Arabidopsis thaliana: one gene and its partner. The protein of the gene in region 1 interacts with the protein of each later gene in a pairwise test. Each region holds a gene or a part of one and is shown on either strand. Other genes may lie near its edges.

Region 1 (10,984 bases):
TTGGAGATATCTAGATTGTCTTAAAAGCCTTGACCACGTCATCATTCTGTATCTGACCACTCCAAACTTATACAGTATAAAGTACAAACTGGTCAAATCGTAAAATGTGTTTTTATCTCCGTAGTTCAACCTGAATGTTTCAGTTTCTATTTTGAGAATCTAGAAACATTATAAAGACCAACGTTATTAAAAAATAAACAGTTGAGGACCTACGGTATTGATTATGGATCACCTAATTAGCTAATCTAACACTTAAAATGCATTAGTTAAGAAAGTGCCCACCACCTAAATCATATGATCAATGCCCTTCACTAACTCCCATAATTAATTATGATTACTAGAAGCTTTAGTTTTTACTATAATGTTTTTCTTTTTGTCACATTTGAGTCAAAACAACACATCTCACTCTAATCATCTGTGTTTTGCTTTTGATGGAAGCAACAACACCCATCAATGATCAAACCAAGAATAAAAAAAAACAGGAATCGAAATGTGCAAAACATGTTTTCAAAGGTTGGGTATTTTTTTAGCTTACTCTGTTTTTCTAATGGAAGCTTGATGTGTTTGTATGAACCTAAACTTTCTCCTCGGCGTGACCAACTGTTTCTCATCTTTTCGGTTAAGAGCATTACCCATTGAGACGTTACGTTTCAGCATTGGCTCAGGGAGATCGATCAGTGGCTCGTGCTGATTGATATGGCTCAAGAAAGAGCGCTGAGGAAAGCTTTCTCTTTTCATCGAGCGTTTTGCTCCAACAGCTTTCTGGTCTTTCCATGACTCTATGTTCCACTGCCGAAATGCCTCTTCTGCTTCAAGTTGCTTCACACTAGCGATTTCTACCCGGTTTAACGCAACTTCCAAGGCTTGTTTACTTTGTTTAACTTCTTCGTTAGCTTCCTCCAGCTTCCTCAAGATCTCTATTCTTGAGACATTGGTGGATAATTCTTTGTTCATCTGTGCTTTAAGTGTTAATGGAAAACATGGTGTCTTAGGGAAGCAGAGAGCGTCTTGGTTTCTTCTGCTGGATAATATGGTCATTTCAGCAAGCGCAAGTGCTTCCGCTGCTCTTGCTGCCTCTTCCATTTTTCTTGCAGCAACCAATCTCATATCTGCAGTTCTCGGGCAGGTTTTGCTCTGTTTATGGAAAGCTGTATCATAGGTTTCAACTACCATCTTAATCTGTTCACATTGTGGATTCACTGGTAAATTCTCGGTATTGAATCTCTCTACTTGATCAGGACCTGCTGGTTTAAACTTCAAACTGTTAAGTTCCTCCGCTAGAGACGCTACTCCAAGGACATCTTTCTCTTCCTTCGTTTTCATATTCAGAGATTCAGCATAAGAGTGGATCAACGCAAGATCATCCATGGTTTTACAAAGATTCATACCAGCTTGCTTCATTTCCATGGTCATCAGATCCGGAGACTTCAGGGGATTACGATGGCAGTGCTCATCGACCATCTCTTTGGAGTGTGAACGCAAATGTTGAGGGGTCTCCTTGCATCTCAGTGCTTGCTGCTGAAGCTGCCACTTCAAATCTTCAAAAATCCTTTTGGTTGATCCAAGAGCTTCAAGAAGATCCAGAGTCTCTAACTCTTTCATAATCAGATCCTTCTCAAGCTCCACTGTCTGTTCTTCCATTCTCTTTATGTCAAATTCTCCCACACAGTCCTGAAGAATGACAAACCAAAAAAACATAAAACAAATCATGCTATATAATACCAAAAAAAAATCTTACATAACATCTTGCTAGTTCCAGAATCAATTGCCGCAAATGCAAACATCAAATTAGCTATCACTTATTACAAAATATCTACTCAGTAACCAAATCGAATCAGCTATCAGTTATTCAGTTTGTTAGCATACTTAACAGTTAGAGAACATACATTTCAAACTTTCAGTGACATTAATGCTCAAACTTTAAATGAACAGACTTTGTAAATCGGAAACTAGAAGAGAACTCACGTAATTGTCTTCAAGATTGAAGGGAACCCAGAACCCACGACCACCATATAACTGTGGAGAAATGTCGATTTCAGCTCTCAAGCATCCTCTCCTTGTATTCTCCGGGTTGAAATTCTCGGACCCGGTTCCGGTTCTCACTTCCCGGATTACGGGTGTACCGGGAATCGTCTCCGCCGCAGGGCTCTGTTGCCTCTCCGCCATTTCCGTTAGCTCGAGAACGAATTGGTTTGTACAAGTGAAAGGGAAAGATAATGAAAGAGTGATCTATTTACAGTAATCATAGTTACTGATCAGAAGCAAACAAGATTGAGAGCTTCTCTATGATTGTGTTTTTCTCGGTAATGAAAGTCACTCACGAGAGAGACTCGAAGAACAAGAATGCAGGCTTTGATGATGCTACTACTAATGGCTGTGGCGACGTGGCTTCTATTGATTGGTTATCTGATTAATTAATAAATGAAAATTTTGGGCCGTTGATTAAGGAAGCGATATTGGGCCGTTGGTACGAAGTTCAAGTTCGTCTATATTGGGCTTTTTTGTGAAGGAAATTCTTACGTATGTGTTGTTTGTTTCTGTTCAAATACGAATATCCGAAAATTGTTATAATTTTCCCGTGCGATATTAGTGTATAGTAAATGTATGAGTGAAATAAATAGGTGGAGCTTTCCCTTATAGTTTTCTAACCAATTTGTGTGGCCATCACATTAAAGCAAAATCCGAGTAGGAGAAAACGGACCACGTACGAATACGATTGGAAACGACCATTAAATTATACGACCTCCCTCACTCAACCGTCCAAATTCATCACCGTCGTCTTTCGATCTCTCACGTTTCTATTTATTTCTCCGCATACGTTTCTTCCAACTAATTAGAACCGACAAATATATATATCTTTTCTAATTACTATTGTTGGGAGTTACCAGTTAGCACTTGACATTGGTACGTATTCAGATGGTTTGGTCTGACACTCTGAGTAGTTCCCTATTATATCCTATCTAAATTATCATTTCATTAAATGTAAACCATTATATCTTTTGGATGAACATGCCCCAAACTTTTGGTCAGTAGTTTCAAATTACGACAAACAAGGTTAGTAGTCTTGATATATATTAAAACGTGTGGATTTGTTGGTCAATAATTATTTCCTTAATTATAAGAACACCAAATAAAAAGGTTTATAGAGTGGAATCCCACAAAAGGTAACATATTAAATACTCTAAGCAATGCTTACTACAGTAACTGTTTACCAATAATGTGATCCTCACCTCACGACTCTCTTATTATTAATGAAAACGCATTAAGTAATGCATACAGTAAGATAGCCACCTTTCATTTATTATCTAACCAATTTTTTCCCCTATGTATGATCTTCCATATACTTGTAATATGCTCATCCATATGAATTTTTCCTAAAGAAAATAAAAAAGCAGAATAAATATCCACGATTATATACAACCGTGCAAAGAAGATTCTTTTGTTTCATCGGCAAACTTGTTTTACTCGCAATACATATTACTCTTTGTCACCTCTAAAGAAGCTTCGAAACTAGCACTTGTTGTTTCAATTTTCGTACATCAATTCTCATCAAAAGCCGACTCAAACATAAACCGAGAGTTTATAAAAAACAGATGTCAGAAAGACTAGAAGATGACTTTGCAATCGATGAAGAGAGATCCTCCTACTATGGCGGAGCCTCCATACCATTCATATGGGAGTCAAGGCCAGGAACACCCAAAAACCACCTCTGCTCCGATTCCTCTCTTCCTCTGCCTCTCACACCGCCGCCCTCATACTACTCCTCCGGGATTTTGTCGACACCAAGGACGCAAAGCAAGGTGAGATCAAAACTAAGTAAGTTTCTGTCCTTCTCCATGTTCAGTGATCTCAGGAGGAGCAATCACGGTAGCAAGAAGACGGCAAGCTCATCGTTTTCTTGGTCTTCTACGTCATCTTCATCTTCCTTTTCCTCCTCGCCACCACATTCTTTGAAAAAACGTATGAGTCACGACAAAAAATCGCCACTTCTGTACGCTAACTACGAAGAGGATGAGCTTAGGTCTTCACCAACCTCGACTCTGTGTTGCTCCAACGGGGGAAGACTTGGCTGTAGTTCTTCAATGGGGAGTGTGACAAGAGCTCTGTTCTCTGGGTCAATGGAGGGTATGAAGAGACATGAGACCACAGGTAAAGCTCTAATCATCAGCGACATGAATAAAGCTTGATTATGTGAATAAAGCTTGGTTTTTTCTATGAGCTGCTTCGCCTCATTGAACAGAGAGTGTTATAGTTATTGGTGTGTGAATGTAAGTATATAGTTTGTCTCTCAGTCGTGGCCTTACCTGTGTATTGTGGACAGGCTTTTTCGTCAATTCATGTCTAAGTAGAACCAAGAACGTTCTCCCACTGAAACGATGTTAAATATTATAAACCGATAGATATTTTGTATACACAGATTTGACGTGTCATGTGTACTAAGTGACCAGTGAAACATTTCCTGTGAGAATACTCCTTAGCTATACAGTGATTACGAACGGGTTATGGTGTCTCTATGATATCCTTAAGATTGTTATCTCTTCTTACTTAGTCTGAGTCGCTATTAGATACCTCTTCTACTGGCAGCTCAAATGCATCAATCTCTGCAAAGTAAGCTTTCTGCTTCTCGATATAATCCTGACAAGCTGCACTAACCGGATCCTCTTTCTCTTGCTTTACCGTCCGCTGTCTCTGTAATGTAACCACAAATGCAGAATTAGATTTGGAGCAAACTTATATGTTACCAATAGTCATAAGGCTCTATAACTGAACAATGGGAGTTCCAAATTGCATATCTCATTAAACAGTAATCCCACTGTATCTCGTGACAATATTCTAAATCCAACTTTTGAAAAAAAGAAGAATATACATGAAACTGAAGGACTAGGCAATTCACTTCAAACTATGTGTAGCACTGGTTTCAGACATGTGGCAGAAGAACGTTGTGAACAATCAATGTTGAAACATACAATGCACTGATATACACTTTGCTAGAGCCATAAAACCAATAGATCAAAGTATTGACTACTTTTTCGCAGAAAGATGATAACAACATAGAATTATTACAGTTCTGATAAGTAAACAGCCAGAGCTTTCCTGAATTCACCTTTTTTGGAGCCACTTTCAAGGTCTTCTTTTTGTTTTCACTAGCTTGACGTGTTTTCTTCCTGTGATACAAATTTCAAAGAAAATTAACTAACAACAACATGGTTGATTATAAACAGCCCACAAAATGCTAAACAAATTTGATGAAAGTTAACTGTAACACTAACAAAAGTTATCTCATCTACTATTTCTTACTGACAAGATTCTTTCAAAAGAACAGGCATCAATAAATTAGTCAGCATGAACTACATTCTATCCTGATTCCATATGTACATTAGCTACTATTAGCCATGCCAAATCAATTTTCCCATAGCAAATATATGATCGAATGGGTTTCATACCCAGAGCTTGATGACAAGTCGAGACGAATGCGAGCTGCTGCACTAGTAGAGGAAGATGCGTCTTTACTTCTTTTTTGTCCAGAGGCCTTCCTTCTTACCGTGTAAACAGACCAAGGCTCAGTAAAATCCTTGTCACTAACACCTAAGCATAAGACAATTATTTAACATCAGTATAAGATAGACACAGAAACCAATTTTGCAAAAATACCAATTGAAAATCAACAGAGACTGAGAACTAGCTTGATAGCAATTTTCAATCCACTCAATATTGGTGCCGTTTTGGAAATTTGAAGTGACCCAATTAGTGCTCTTCCACTATAACAGAAAACATGATAAATTCAAGCATCAATCTAAACCTTCTTCCAATAATTCCTAAAAATACCCAAAACCCGAAAACTAAAACCCTAGAGTTGCGAACAATTTCAATTCAGATGAAATTCCTTAAAATTTGATACAGTATAACAAAACTGGAACAAAATCATCGCAGCTAAATCAATTACCCATATCAGATCGCGATGTTTGGGGACGAGAAGGAGCTGAGGCCGGAGAAGCCAGATCAGCAGACATACGGCGAGTTACGGGTCTAACGTCCGTGGTAATAGGCCGAGAAGCGATTTCGGGAGCAGTCGCCGAAGTATTAACATCTTTGGGTTTCTCCTTGAGCGTAGTTTGTTCTACTAATCTCTTTAGTGAAGAAGTGAGACTCGGATTCGCGAATTTTACAGAAGAAGATGACTGTTGAGAAGATCTGGAGACGGTGTTAGTACAATCCGCGAGCGGTTTCCTCTGTATTCTTCCTCCGACGGAGCGAGGAGCTTCCATTTGTTTACCCGGCGTCGGAATCTTGGGATGATTCATCTGAGGTTTTGTGGGAGAAGATTTCTACTCTCTGTTGGCGGGAATGTGAAAAGCACGAAAAGAAGAAGAGTTCTGAAGAAGGCTCGAGAGAGCTTGAGACGATAATAATTGAGGATTTAAGAGAAGCCCAAATTGGGAAAGTATCGTTGGGCCCATATTTTTTATTTTATCAACTGGGCCCATGATTTTGTTTTGACAGCACTGGGCCCATATCATAATCTATTCTACTACCTTTTTAGAACTTGATGAGGTGTAGGGGATCAACAAAATTATTGCTTTTCTTTTTGTAAGGATAATATTAAATATATTGTATAGAGGGGAACTGTTTTTTAGAAGTGGGAGCAAAGTATTAGAGCATTATGTATCAAAGACTTGCGAGTTGTTGACCAATTAATAAAGGAATTGCAACTTTAGGTGATTGTGATGTGAGGCTGAAATCTTTGTAACCACCAAGTAGACAAAGTATGATTCAGCATTGTATGATATATACGTAATTTCAATAACGATTGGAATATAAAGATTCTTGCATTTCGAGTTATGTGATGAGATCTTTAGAGTTGTGTTGAAACACGTAAATTGCGATCGTCATTACACGAGTTCCTCGAATAGGTTCGGTGAGAGGGACAGAGAATGAGTGCCATATTTCAAAACTACACGCATTATTGATAGATATATGCTGATGTGTTTCTTTGATGGACGTCGCATAGGAAAGCCACAATGGAAATATTGATAATGTTAACTACAAAAAAAAGTTTGGGAATCCATATAAGAAACCATATTATACTTGAGTCTCTCATTCCTATGCTCACTCGAGTAGGATTCCAAAAAACGGTACACATCGATTTTTAGCCACTTTTTAAACAACAAAATATCAAAGAATATATTGGTCTCATGACCGATTCTGAAAATTCAGCTACTTACTGTTTAGAATTATAAAATTCAATATGAATAGTGATAGATAAGATATTCGCAATTTTGAATGATAACAATGTAAAACCGCAAATTGTGAAACTTTTGTCCATCATTCAAAAAATTTAGTTTTTGGCAAAACAATCCGTGAAAAGGACAACATTATTTATGTATCAATACACCCCACTACCTAGTCACCTAAAGATAAAATGAGTTAGTTCGGCTTACCATTCAAACTCCACATGTATAATATGATATTTTTATAGATTGACATATAATATTTGTGTTTTATTGTTCATGATATTCTTTAGAAAGCTTGAAAATAAAATATTAGGATAAAAATAGTTTTCTCTAAGTTCATAGTCAAATACTACTATCTAATAAAAGTAAACTTTGATTGACCCCATATATATAAAAATTAGGTAATTGGTACTGCAACAAAACATGTGTAGTACAAGGAGACCTCATAGAATTCTTTGTACTTGTACTTTCTGTTAGTGGATTTTAAAGTTGGTAAGCTTTTTTCCACATCAGGTATAACTAACCTTCCTAAACCTTTATACTTTATTATTGGAAATATGGTAAATGCACTAATTCATAATGTTCTCGTTTCCTTTACGCTAACTTCTCCGAATCTTTGCTTTTGCGTTACTATAAATATTCAGAAGACACCATTTCTTCTCATTCAACAAACAAGCATCTCATTCTCTGATTCGGTCCATCGATCTCAAAGGCTCAAAGCTTAATCGTTTCCTTTCTTCTTATTCTAGCCATGGCTCAGGTAATTTTGTGACTTTGATATTCTTCTTCTTTTTTTCTCCATTTCTTGGCCATGAAACGATGGAATAATGTTTTTGAGAGACATTGATCTGGAAGCAGGAATGTCTTTTTGTGTCCATCTCCAAAAAAGATGCTAGCAATTGTCTATATATATCGGTTATGAGAGTCCGATTAATCAGTTTTTATGATAATAAATATTTTGGAATGAATTAATATCAAATTTCAAGAGGGAAGAAAAGAGATTGATTGGTCTAGGTCTAGGTTCTATCTGTAAGTACTATAATGTCCGATTAGCACCACTTTGAAATATTCATCAAAAAAGGTAAATATTATTAAGCTAGAGCACAAAAGATAACAGTTAATAATTGTGATAAAATTAGCTGTTGATATATTTGGACCGAATTGGTCCTATGTATATGGATATGGTTCTTACATTTTCGGATTAAATTGTCTAATTAATGCAGACCGTTGTCCTCAAAGTTGGTATGTCATGCCAAGGCTGCGTTGGTGCCGTCAATAGAGTTTTAGGCAAAATGGAAGGTATTTCTCTCTAATCTTTTTTTCATGTCTTTCAAATACTTTCTACTAATCATTGTTTCCCTTTATTTTAAGCCTTATAATTTATTGACTCTATAATTTATTATATAATCTCAGGGGTTGAGTCATTTGACATTGATATCAAGGAGCAAAAGGTGACAGTGAAAGGTAATGTTGAGCCTGAAGCAGTTTTCCAAACAGTTTCAAAGACCGGAAAGAAGACTTCTTACTGGCCAGTGGAGGCTGAAGCTGAGCCAAAAGCCGAGGCTGATCCTAAGGTCGAAACCGTGACTGAGACTAAAACCGAGGCTGAGACTAAGACTGAGGCTAAGGTTGATGCAAAAGCTGATGTTGAACCAAAAGCCGCAGAAGCCGAGACTAAGCCATCACAAGTTTAAGTATACTAACGATGAAAAGGAAGGCTAATCTACCTTTACAATGCTTCTTTATCTTTTGCTTTTGTGTGTTGTTGTAAGAAATGCTTCCTCTAAATACCTAATATCTTTATGTATGTATACCTTTTTCAACTATTGATAACAAGATGTTGGACCCATGTTGGTCCGACTTTCTTTTATAAGAAGTTTTAAGTGTTTTACTAGTTAATTAAATACTGCGAGAGTCTTAACTTTGACTTATTATAAAACTCAATCCATTCAGACATCTGTCTGAAAATAGGCAAAAACAGAATGAACCATTTTCAAGAGAAAATTGTAAGATGAGCCGGCCTGAAGAACTTGGAAGCCCCAAGCAAAAGTTTTTCTGGTCTATTTACATATTTTTGTAAGAAGTTGGACATTAGGATGGGATTTGAAGTTTGAACTCCCCTTGGTATTTATATAAGCCCAAAACCAAATAGACTAATAACTTATTTTGTTATATATGTGGCCCTAATAGTACATAATATTCATGTGGATTCAAATTTGAGTTATCATCTTACCTGAATTACTATATGGGTGTGATTAGTATACACTAATCTAGCTAATCCATTCAGAAAACAATTCGTGCTAAGATTTGGATTGCACATTCTTACAAAATTAATGAGTTATTAATTAATATTTTTCCCAAAAATTAAGTCAATTAATGTTGAAGCTATAGGAGCGACGTGCTTACACTACACATATTTGCTGTTGAAAGGTTGGAAAGTCCTTTTCTTCTTTACCAACTTTTTACGTCTTTTAGCTTTTGAAGCTATCTATCGTATCTCAAATCTCTGTATTCTTATCTACTCTCTAAATCATTCTTCATGAGTTAACTTTACTAAATTATGTACGGTTAGCATCGATCATATACATGCGAAGCATATACATATATCCAGTCAAGCATATAATAAACAAATTAATAAATATATTGGATTTGTTTCATTAAATTAATTAAGTATATAACATCCCATGAAGGTTCCAAGTTCCAACTATACAACTGCCCCTAAAAGATTCCTTCATGTCTTAATCATTTCATCTACGTTGTTTTATTTGTTAAATTATGCTCAACAACTCTTTACGGAAACAATCATGTACCGAGTTGATTATTAACGAAAAATATATTTAAAAATGTTTCAAGAACGTAGCCATCTCTAACCAATTCTTGAACCATACTTTACCAACTTGCGTTCGAAGCAAGAAACTGCTCCTCCATCATCTTCCTCTATTGATCTTCTTCATATTCTCAAGTTTACTCCAAAAATTGCGAGGTAGAGAAGAGGAAACTACAAACCAAGAACATTAAATGGATTGCTCAATCTGCACCACAATGCCATCTATATTAAGACCACCAAGAAACACAATATGTGGATCATGCTACGAAGGGGCTAGAACAACAATTGCGCTGCTCAAGAAACTTGAGGGCTCGAAAGAAGATCGTCATGACAAATCGAACCATAATTCCACCATCAATAATGGCTCCTCTATTTCTTCGTCTCCTTTGTTTTCTTGTGAGGTAAGCTTCTTATGTGTATTTGCACTAAGTAGTCTTTAATTTATAAAACATTTCAATTATTTTTTAGAAATCAAAACACATTAATTTATTGGCTTAATGATTTTTAACTATATATTTGTGCGAGAATTTCAGCCGCAACCATTAGAGAAGGTGATCAAATGGATGAAAAACATGAAAGAAACCGAAGAAGAACAGAAGAAAAGAATAGTCTTCTTAAGCAGCTTTGTGTCGGGTTTCAAAGAACAGCTTCATGCTGATATTCTTCTAAAACCGGGCGATGATGGCCCTCCAATTCCTGCACATAGAGCTTTGCTGGTAATTCAATGATCGCTAGCTACTCTCTTTTAAAATTTAATTTTATGGCATGGTTAGTTTTATAATAGGATGTTGACATTTTAAAAATACAATAATTTATAGGGTTTAAATAAAAATTCAATGGCGTTTGATGTTTATGTAAACAATTTCAAAAGTACAAATTAAATAGAAAAAAAAATAAAGTAAAATATTTTAACATGACGCAACCA
Region 2 (10,984 bases), on another chromosome or scaffold:
TTTTCATTTCTTGCATCTCAAGTAAGCTTGAGCCCCAAGAATACTTATCAACCCTCCTAAAATCCCAAGAGATCTTTCCGAGAACAAAAACATGATCTTTTCCGGAGTTTTTCCTCCATGATTTCTTCGATCCGAGCCATTTAACAATCTCAATCGGCAAAACATCTTTCACATCGCTTGAAACGTTCTTGAAATGCCATCTCAAAACATCCATACCGCCATAGAAAGGCACATAGAAGAGCTTCGCTTGAGTCTCGTTATGAACCCTACATGGATGCTTCAAAATTCTAGAGTGAAATATCGGCTCAAGTGAATACTGATGCGTTCTGAACCAGCCTTTACCCATACTCTCCATCAGTTCACCAAACGCATCGTTCTTGAAGTAGTTGCAAAAATCAGCCCATGGAACCATATCGGAGCATTCCCTCAACAAATCTTTGTTGAATTTAGATGGTAAATCGTAAACGTATACACCTTTTCCTTCGCAAGATCCCGGCTTTTTGCGGTTGTTTCCCATCGATAACCAAGTTCTCTGTATTTGAATATACTCTTCCGTAGATTTTAGACCGGTCTCCTCGTCTTCGGTCTTCGCTTTGAAATATCGGTATCGTTCTTCGCCAGTTTCTGGATCCCAATCAATGATGAAATCTTGATCAATCTCGTTTTTGGGTAAAGAATCTTGATCAAGAACGGAATCAAGATTCTTTTCATGGATGGGTTTAGCATCTTGATTAAGAATGGAAACTCTTTCTCCGGAGGTTTCTCCTGTGAAAGTTTCGTTCTTATTGATGGTGAGGTTTTCTCCGACCGTAGATTTGTCTGAATCTTTTCCTCCCTCGAAGGTTTCATTTTCTGCGAAACCCTTGTCTCCGTCTTTACCAAGAACAAAAACATTCTTCTCTTCTTTACTTGTTACCACATCTTCACTAGCCGGCGCAGTGAAATTGTTGACTGGTGCACGTAAAGCGGGCTGAGAACCGGCAGTGAGGCAATAAAGGTCAGTGAGCTTCCGCGAAGAGATGCATATATGAACGACGTTACCAGAGATAACGGTCGTGGAAGTGGACCAAAGATAAATCAAGAAAAGAAAGAGAATCGTGAGAGGTACACGATAAAGAAATGATCTGGCGGAAAAGATCGAAAAAAGGTTATTACAGCAAGTACGAGGATCTTTAAGTGTTTTTTCGGGATTTCCGGTTTCGGTCTTTTTGGACGTTCTTGGTCGTCTCAACTTTGAGACGGAGACAGGCATTTTCTTGTTTGGTTGTTTTTTGGATTCTCTTTTGTGTACAAGCTTTTGTAGATGTTTTGATAGGGACATCTGGACATGCACTCACGTCGTCACATAATTGTAGTAAAATGATCAATGAGTGTGCACGTCTTGTTGTAACAAACTTAAATCATTTGATTTGGAAACCTGATAATAGAAATAGATGCATATGTTAATATTATATAGCAATGTTTGTTAGTTTAGTATTCATTGAATCTTATAGTGAAATTAATAATCCAAGTTTTGGTAGTTAAAACGAATTAAATTAACGTGCCTCCAAGTTAAAATTTTGGAAAACAACTTCTCTTATATATGGTTGTGGAATATTCACTTTGACTTTGGATGCGAGTGAATATATCCATAATAACACAAGATCTATCTAGCTGGCCTTTTTTGGTCAACTTAAATTTATAATTCAAAGTAGGGGTTATGCAACCAATCCGGAAAAAAAAGGAATCTATAAAACACAAAGTTGACATATAGTATACGAGAAGAAAACGAAGCAGAAATGTTTACTTTTCTCCTTGCAACAACATTGTCCCATTGATGCACTCACCGTTAGTTTTGGGACGATGAAGAAGATTGTTATTGCATTCAATCATTCTCCATGATCTATCAACTCCTCCCAATGTGAATACTTGATGTTCAAAAGATGGACCATCCCAGTAATCATTCACTTTTTCCGACATGCACAATACTTAATTTATACTCACCATTGACTGGATCATACCCGAAAAAGTTTTGGATAATCTTTTTTCTTGATTTCACTTTGGGTAAAGGTATGTACTTACTTGTGCTAGGGTTGCATATAAATTGTTCTCGTCCACATCCAAGACTTATCAAACCATTAACGTAATAAGGAACATTATTGATCCTGCGGCAATACGGACTCGGGATTGAGCATGTCGCACTAAGAGATAAATAATACGGTAGATTCTTGGTTGATGTCGAGGAATACGTGAAGAAGTTACAAATCTGGCGTCCGTTTTGGTTATCTAAATATTTGAATGCAAAGAGTATATGTGGCTGAAGCGAAGACCTAAAGGGAAACGATCTAATGAAATATCGACTGCGGATAATTGTTGCCAATAACTTGGATACAACGAGAAACTTAGCTACGGACTTCACAGGCAATCTCTTCTTGTCTCCGACGTTACTTGACTTACTCGAGACTCCTTCTCTATCTTTGTCCTTTTGCTGCCATGTCTAGTTCTCATTATCACGTTTCAAAGTATAATCCTAATCTTCTTATCTTTATTTGTGTCCTCTCTGCTCTTGTCTTATAATAAGGCAAATATTTTCCTTTTCCAAATAGGAAAAAGGGAAGCAACGAAAATATGGAGGCAAAGTAAATCAATTATTAGTTCATGGACTTAAATTCTAGATAAGGAGTGGAAACTTACTGTACGGTTTGTTTATTGGTTCATCAAATTCAATAACCGGTACTCGGTTTAGTTCAATTTTTTAAACTCGCTCCACCTGAATCTCCCGAATCTCCAGATGATCAAGCTTCTTAGGTCGCTTGTAGTTCTTAAGCAAGAGAGAGCAACACACAACACTAACAGAAGAAGCAGCCATTGCAGCACCTGCAATCCATGGAGGCAACCTGAAACGTGTCCCTGGGAAAAGCACTCCCGCAGCGATCGGTATCCCCATGAGGTTATACCCGAGAGCCCATACGTAGTTGAGACGGATTCTTGAGAACGTTTTCCTTGAAAGATCAATGGCTGTGATCACATCTTCTAAGTTGCTTTTCATCAGAACTATATCCGCTGCTTCTATAGCAATGTCTGTTCCTGCACCTATCGCCATACCTACATCCGCTGCCACGAGAGCCGGTGAGTCATTGATTCCGTCACCTACCATTGCCACAACATGTCCCGCAGCCTGCAATATATATTCATTGCTTTTATCAATTCCATATATGTGAACTTTTTAACATTTAGTGTGGAGCTTTTACTCAAGTACCTGTAATTCCTTGACTTTCTCTGCTTTTTGCTCAGGTTTAGCTTCTGCGATAACAGAGTCGATACCGACTTCTCTAGCAATTGAGTTTGCTGTTCCCCAGTTGTCACCAGTTACCATGATGCTTTTGATATTCATGGATTTTAGAATGGAGATGGCTTCTCGAGCACTCGGTTTTAGAGGATCCGAAACAGACAAAACTCCAATCAGTTCACTGTTTATGGAGACAAGAATTCCGGTCTGGGCCATATCTTCAGAGTCAGCTAGCAACTCTTCAGCATCATCTGGAATAATAACTTTATGATCATTCATCAGATTCTTGTTCCCCACCATAATCTCTCTACCTTTAACGGTGGCTTTCACTCCCTTTCCAGTGATGGACACAAAATCACAGGCTTCTGGCCAGGCAGGGTTCTCTTCGTCGTCTCTGAATTTCTTCGCGTACTCGACAATGGCCTTTGCTAACGGATGCTCACTGTTTACCTGATAAACAAAATAGCATCAACATAGTAATATTACTTTTGATGTAGGCCAGGAGTTTCCAAAAGTTTACCTCAGTTGCAGCAACAAGTTCATAGAACTCTCGAAGTACCATGTTTTTCAGGAGCTTTGTTTTCACAACAACGGGCTTCCCCATCGTGAGAGTTCCTGTCTTGTCAAAGACAATGCAATTTACCTACACCGTCATTGAAACTGTCAGGTTTCACCATTTCAGAAAAGAAATGATCCAGAGAACCTGAGTAAAGTATATACAGTATAGTAAGTTTACAAAGCCATAGACCAAGTTACTGCACACTAAACTAACCTTGTGTGCTCTTTCTAGGGCTTGGCCACCCTTTATCAGCACACCTTGGGATGCACCAACCCCAGTACCAACCATAACAGCAGTTGGAGTAGCCAGCCCAAGAGCACATGGACAAGCTATGACCATGACAGAGATCCCGAACTGAAGAGCTAGCTCAAAGCTATCCATCGAAGAAGGTATCCAGGATTCAGGGTACCAATGCAGTTTCCCAGCTAAGAACCAGGCAAGCCAAGTTGAGAACGAGAGGAAAATTACCTTCAACATTATAATCCAGTGAGTTTAAAAAATAGTTGTGCCTCTAAAAGACTAAATAATTTGTTTATCAACTGGTCAGATTACTCACAAGAGGAACAAAGAACTTGGAAATCCGATCAGCCAACTTCTGTACTGGAGCTTTGGCCAGTTGTGCGGACTCAACAAGTCGAACAATCTGAGCAAGAGCACTCTCTGAACCAACCCTTGTAACCTTAACATGCAGAACACCATTCTCGTTCAAAGTGCCTCCTATAACTGTATCACCCTTTCTCTTTGCCACTGGCCTAGCCTCTCCAGTGATCATACTTTCATTCACATGACTTTGTCCCCATATGACATAACCATCTGAAGCTACTTTAGCACCAGGAACAATTTTGATCACGTCATTCTTCTGTATCAATCGACCATCAATCTCCTCTTCACCAGTCACATTCCCTTCCTTGTCCAAACTCAACAATATCGCAGTGTCGGGTGCCAAGTTCATAAGCTTTGCGATCGCTTGAGATGTTTTTCCTTTAGCCATAACCTCCAAATATTTTCCTAGTATGATAAAGGAAATGAGCATGGCACTAGTCTCAAAGAAATCTACTCCCTTGAAATCAGGAGATGTTGCAGCTCTCAACACTGTGTATAATGAATAGAAATAAGCTGCATTTGTCCCCAGAGCAATCAGAACATCCATATTAGCCGATCCTCGGCGTAAAGCCTTGTAAGAGCCAGTATAAAATCTCCAACCAATGACAAACTGGACAGGAGTAGCCAAAACACACCTTATGATTTCTCCAACGGTGAGCATATTGATGACCTTAAACATGAGCAAATCTTTAATTCCAGGGATATACATAAAGACCATGGCTGTCAAAAACACCGGTACTGTAAAAACCAAACTCCAGAGAAACGACTTATAATACTGCTTAATCTCCCCTTGCTTTTGAGATTCTCTGCCTACCCCTCCCTCTGAGAATATTGTTGCCTTGATGTGACCACTATGACCAAAGACAGTAGACTCAATCACCTGAATGAAATTCCTCGGCCCCGTCACATCAGGTTTGTACAATACAGATATCTTATCAGTTCCATGGCTGATCTCAACACTTTGAACACCAGGAAGTGCTTCAAGCGACCTTTCAATAACCTTCATGGATTCATCAGTAAGCTCACCATCAATCTTCAAATCAATCTTGCTCACATCCTCGCCTGTACTTATAAGCACAGCTTCAAAACCAGCATTTTCTATCTCCTCCAATAGTCTATCATAGCTCGAGAGTCTAGGATCATAATGAATCTCAGCTTCTTCAATTGCTAAAGCCACATGTGCTCTTTGTACACCATTAACCGATTGCAAAACTCTTTCGATTGTTGAAGAACACGAAGTACAAGTCATACCATTAATTCTTATTCTACAAACTTGTCTCGACCTCTCATTCGCTTCATTTTCGATCAACGATGCTTCAAATCCAGCATCCTCAATAGTCTCACGAATTGTCTCCACCTATAAATCCACAATTACACAGAAAAAGAAAACCTAAATCCCAAATCAAGTCTTCTCAGAAACAATTCAACCGAGATTCGAGAGAATATCATAGCTTACATCGACAGAGTTAGGGTAAAACAGAATCTGAGCACGATTATTCAGAGCATCGATGACAGCATCGTGAATTCCAGGGAGACGCTTGATAGCCTTTTCAACAGATCCAGCGCAAGCAGAGCAAGTCATTCCTAACACTTGAAAAACCGCCCTGGAAATCGGATCATCGATCTCAAAAGCCGCCGTCTCCGACGATGATCCTCCGCCGCCGTCGCGAGACCTGGTAAGGTGCTTCCGCACCAGAGGGTAACGCTCGCTGAATCTCTCTTTCCTTATGCATGTAAGCGACAAAAGCTTCGTCGCCATGTAATCGATCGTCTTGTGCGCGAATCTTGTTCTTCTCGTATCGAATTTGAGTTTTTAAAAAGCTTTTAGGTTTATGGGAAATGATGAGACTTTTTGAAATTGTTTTGCTTTTTAAATTGGAACGAAGACGAGGGAAAGCGGTTTACGACATCTAAAATGACAAAAATGTGTGGGCCGATTTGTAAATGTTTAAACTATAGGGCCCTACCAAACAATACTTTACTTTTAAATTTCAACCGCCATATATAAAAAGAGAGAATTTCAACCTCAACAGATTAAATTCCAATTTTCTTTTAAATTATATAATTCAAATTTAATCGTCCAAAGTAACAACACCTTTGACTTTAAGGTTCGCTAAAAAAATGGATTGATTAGTGATGACAAAAAAAAAAGGATTGATTAGTGATATTATTACGACATGATGAAGTAATCTTTTTTTTTTTTTGATAATTAAGAACAGGCCTGATTAAGAATGATTAAGTAATCTTTACTTGTTTTTTTCTGTTTCAATAAAATAATATGACAATATACTAACGAAACTTGGCTAATCCATATCTGTTTTAACTAAAGGTAAAATGGAATCTATTTTACGTGTCTGTCTAATCTTTTATGGCACTCAACCTCGTAAGAAGAAGTCATACCAAAATTGAAGATTGAAAACAGTCAAAGCATTGATAAATGGGCCTATTGACTTGTGTGGCCCATTTAGACTGATACGAGGCTAAATGTGGGCCTTTTATTAAGTTGATCCATGCATTATGATTTATGAACTTCAACTACGTTTCTTCTTCTTCTTGGTCCGCAAACACTTGTCTGAGACTGATATTGATCTCAAATTGATTGCCTTGAAGCTTTTTCCAATGAGACTAATCATGTCAAACAATAGATACAATGCTCTATATAATATAAGATTAAAGGTTAGATCCAAACACACTACATTAACATTCTTCAACCTCTCATAGATTTTCAAATAATAGAGAAAATCTTTCAGAAACTATGTTCATCTCTTCATTTACAAACACTTTGAACCACCCAAAACTCAAAACTAATCAAGAACACAGACACACTCGTCAAGATCAGAGCAAAAAAAAACAATATCAAATGTTGTAATCAGTCGATTGATTTACAGAGTTGAGAGTTTGGTTTTTAGTTAGTTAGCATTGCATCATTCAACACTCGTTTTCTTTCCTTTCATCATTCTCATCACGAGTCAAGCGCCAGCTCGGCCCAAGCCAAAGAAGATGATCTAAGCTCCGCTGAAATAGACAGACTGATTCTGCTCTCCAATGTCTCGCATAGCTCTTGCACTGAGGGCTTGTTGTGATTGTTGTTGTTGTTGGTTGGGTCCCGGTTCAAGCATTGGCTAGCCACTTCGCATACCGTCTCAAGATCTTCTTGGTTAAAATGTTTCAGCTCTGGATCCACCAATCCCGACATTGCCTCTGGTGCTTCAAGGAACTCCTTTGCCTGCAAAATGCAATAGATACGTTTCAAATTCAAAACTTTTGCCACAAAAACCACATTTGAGGTGCGATATAACTAAACATGTGAACAAGGTCAAGACTTCCACATCCAGACGAAAACTCGTCTCTCCCTGAACAGACGACTCCATTCCTACTAGGCTAACAGTAACAAAGTTTTTGATATAAATGGTGAAAAAAGAGGAGGAGGAAGTAACTCAGTTTCAAGTGTTTAGAGAAACTGAGTTGTTTTTGTCTTACCCATTCAATTAAGAATCCTTTGTCTTTGCAATAAGGAGGTCTTCCACTGACAATTTCCAGCAAAAGAATCCCGAATGCATAGATATTACCCGACACATCAAGATATCGGCTCTCCATTCCGTTTGGGAGTACACATATCGAACCCTGGCTACTAATATTTCTCAAATTCTTTTCTGATCTTGCAAGAATTGTCTTCCAGCATTCGAAATCAACCAGCTGCATCAGAGAAAGTCAGAAAAAAGAAAGAATGTGAACATAAAGCTTAGCTTAGCTAATTGTATTACTCAGATAACAAGCAGGTCTCACTTTACTTTACCTTGGGAGTAAAATCTTCTGTGAGATAAATTGCGTTTGAGCTCAGCTCAGAGATTGTAAACGGAGGATCAAGTTCCATATGAAGGTACTTGAGACCACGTGCGATGCCTATAACAATCTTCATCCGTCTTGCCCACGATACTAACGCCGCTTCCCCGTCTGCATCAAAATATTTCACATAAAAATGTTATCTAGCTAAAACAATACAGGATGATGCAACAAAGCTCTGAGGTAAGTTAGACTATTTACAGTGAAGGTGCTCATATAGTGTTCCGTTTGATGCATACTCAAAAACAAGCATTCTTGTAAATGGTGAGATCTCTTTGCAATATCCAAGTAATTTCGCTGTGTTCTCGTGGTTTAATCTAGCCAAATCTGCAACCTGAAACAGTGAGGAGATGGATTTAAAATCTCAGAAAAAAGGAGGATATGTTTAAAGATTGTTCAATCCAAGTGGCTTGGTGATGATGATAACATGAGAGGAAGCTACCTCTCTCTGGAAATAGAGCTCAAGATATCCAGTCCAATCTTCTTCCTTTACACAAAGAGAGATCACCGCAATCTCAGACCCACCTTTCAGCGTTCCTTTATAGATCTGACTATCTGCTGATAAACCAATGATGTTGCTAAAGTCTTCACACGCCACTTCGAGCTCTTGTCTTGTTAATCTCGAAACATCCTTCAGCATTTCAGAATCTGTAGTTAAAATAAAAACATGCCACGTTTTTTTAGTTCTTTGCTCCATGGATTCTACATTGGAAGGTAAAGAATTAGGAAAGATTCTAACCTACGTAGACTGTGAACTTTTCCTTTTCACTTGAAGATTTCTTCCAAGGAATGATGAGAGTTGATCTATTGTTCCAGCGGTGAACTGCAGAGAAAAGTGCAACCAGAAGGAGCAAACCAACCATTGACCCTGTGACTATCTCAAGAGCTAGAAGCCATTTAGGTTTTGATGCTCTATGGTGCTTAGCCACCATTTGAGCTGATTGGTGCTTAGGAGCAGCGCTCGGGCTTCCATGAGTTTTGACCAGTTGTGCATTAGCTGCAACAGGGATAACATTCAGAAAACCAAGACTAATTGAACATGTATGTCGATAAAGTGAAAATTATTCTATCTTACACACCGCATTGGGAAGAAGATCTATGCTTAAGATCCTTGTTTTGCATGCAGTTCCCTTGAAAGCTCGTCCTAGTGACCACAAAAGAGCATTTCTAAGACTAAATTGAAGACTTAGAGAGTTCCAAAAGACAGCATAGATGATAGAATACCTTGGAAGGTTTTCTAAACATTTTGGAATATTTCCCACGAAAAAGTTGTATGAAAAGTCAGCTACTTTTAAAGATTTGCACAAACCAGCGATGTTTGCACTTGAATTTGAAGAATACCTAAATAAATTGAATAAACAAAACCCGATTAACATTGCCATCATAGACAGAAGTCACATAGTGTTTCATTTTTGGCTTCTTGAGCTATTAAACTTACACTTTCGACTGATAGCCCGATGCTCCAGCAACAAGAAGACTTCCTTGAAGCCTATTCCTGTCAATATGAAGTTCTCTAAGGTACTTCAAGTTACCGAGCTCTGCAGGCAACTTTCCAGTCAAACCATTGGACTGAAGGTTGCTGTAAAATGTGAAAAGAAAAACTGTCGTCTCAACAACTCATCTGTTAATAAGATATGAAAGCATCACTTTGACTGCGAAAAAGATGAATCTTTATTACATTATCATGATGCCGGACAAACTCCCGATCTCTGCAGGGATCGGTCCCATAAGATGATTGTTTCCCAAGTCCAAGATTTTGAGATTCTTTAAGTTTCCTATCTCCTTAGGTATTGTCCCTATTAGAATGTTCCCATGTAGGATTCTACAGAAGCATTTTAATGATGTTAATGAGATGCATCAAACTCAATGCATCAAACTACATATTTGTGAAAGAGATGAAACCGTACAGTTCCTGCAGGTACGTTATTTGACCCAATTCCGGCGCAAGAAACCCTTTTATCGATGAAGCGGATATATTTCTGCACGAAAAGAAGATCCACAAGCTATAAGCTCAAGCCAACTTCATCCTAAACCACTCATAAACAACTGATTCTGCAGATACTATACAAGAATAAGTAAACGCAAGAGAAAGAAGAAAAGATGAAAGATTCTTACATCTTGATAACATGATCTTTAGATGGAGAGCAATAAATGCCGGTCCAATCACAAGGATCTGAATTGGGGTCATTCCAATTAGACATAACTAGCAAAGGGTCCTCATAGATAGCTTCCTTGAATCTTCTAAGTGCTTGAACTAACAAAAACAGAGCAGAAGATCCATAAATCTATTAGATGATTTATATGATCAGACCTTGAATTAAAAGCTTTAACTTCACAGATTCTTCTGATCTTATCCATTAAAAAGATAAAACTTTTTCAGGTTGATTAAGATTCTACACTAATCCCAACTCTGTTCAAGTTAAGTTAGAAAGTTGTTCACAGAGAGATTCATGGAGACTGAAGAATCTAAAAAGGTATGAGCTTTATCTAGCATTTTCTTAGTAAACCTAACACAAGCGAGAAAACAATTGAAATCTGAGATCTGGGTTTAAGAAAAGTAACACAAAACAAAGAGATTAACAAATAGTTTTACCTTCATTAGAGGCAAACCCATCACAAGAAACGAAGAAGAGACCAAGAACAAGAGCTAACGAACAAAAATACTTCGATCTCATCGTCTGTTGAAAGATTCCTTCAAATTCGGCTCATTA

Evidence for each region. Proteins that work in one complex are often made in the same cells at the same time.
Region 2: the proteins of CCH (region 1) and HMA5 interact in a two-hybrid assay, tested with the Arabidopsis thaliana proteins (one study listed by BioGRID).

The regions. Positions count from the first base shown.
Region 1 is NC_003074.8:20,861,402-20,872,385, reverse strand, and holds CCH (copper chaperone), read left to right. Parts: upstream 1-7,763; 5' UTR 7,764-7,983; coding exon 7,984-7,992; exon of another isoform or gene 7,993-8,313; intron 8,314-8,455; coding exon 8,456-8,531; intron 8,532-8,645; coding exon 8,646-8,926; 3' UTR 8,927-9,247; downstream 9,248-10,984. Other genes in the region: AT3G56270 (WEB family protein (DUF827)), read right to left, coding at 532-1,671, 1,966-2,166; AT3G56260 (uncharacterized protein), read left to right, coding at 3,594-4,187; AT3G56250 (uncharacterized protein), read right to left, coding at 4,230-4,304, 4,570-4,689, 5,105-5,165, 5,445-5,586, 5,945-6,302; AT3G56230 (BTB/POZ domain-containing protein), read left to right, coding at 10,251-10,460, 10,593-10,775. UniProt on the Arabidopsis thaliana protein: Involved in copper homeostasis. Can complement the yeast mutants atx1 and sod1.
Region 2 is NC_003070.9:23,522,860-23,533,843, reverse strand, and holds HMA5 (heavy metal atpase 5), read right to left. Parts: upstream 6,275-10,984; 5' UTR 6,190-6,274; coding exon 5,887-6,189; intron 5,788-5,886; coding exon 4,384-5,787; intron 4,296-4,383; coding exon 4,041-4,295; intron 3,912-4,040; coding exon 3,789-3,911; intron 3,719-3,788; coding exon 3,239-3,718; intron 3,158-3,238; coding exon 2,735-3,157; 3' UTR 2,618-2,734; downstream 1-2,617. Other genes in the region: RHS8 (root hair specific 8), read right to left, coding at 1-1,321; AT1G63430 (Leucine-rich repeat protein kinase family protein), read right to left, coding at 7,393-7,728, 7,911-8,126, 8,227-8,384, 8,475-8,607, 8,716-8,921, 9,013-9,270, 9,353-9,417, 9,498-9,614 and 5 more. UniProt on the Arabidopsis thaliana protein: Involved in copper import into the cell. May play a role in copper detoxification in roots.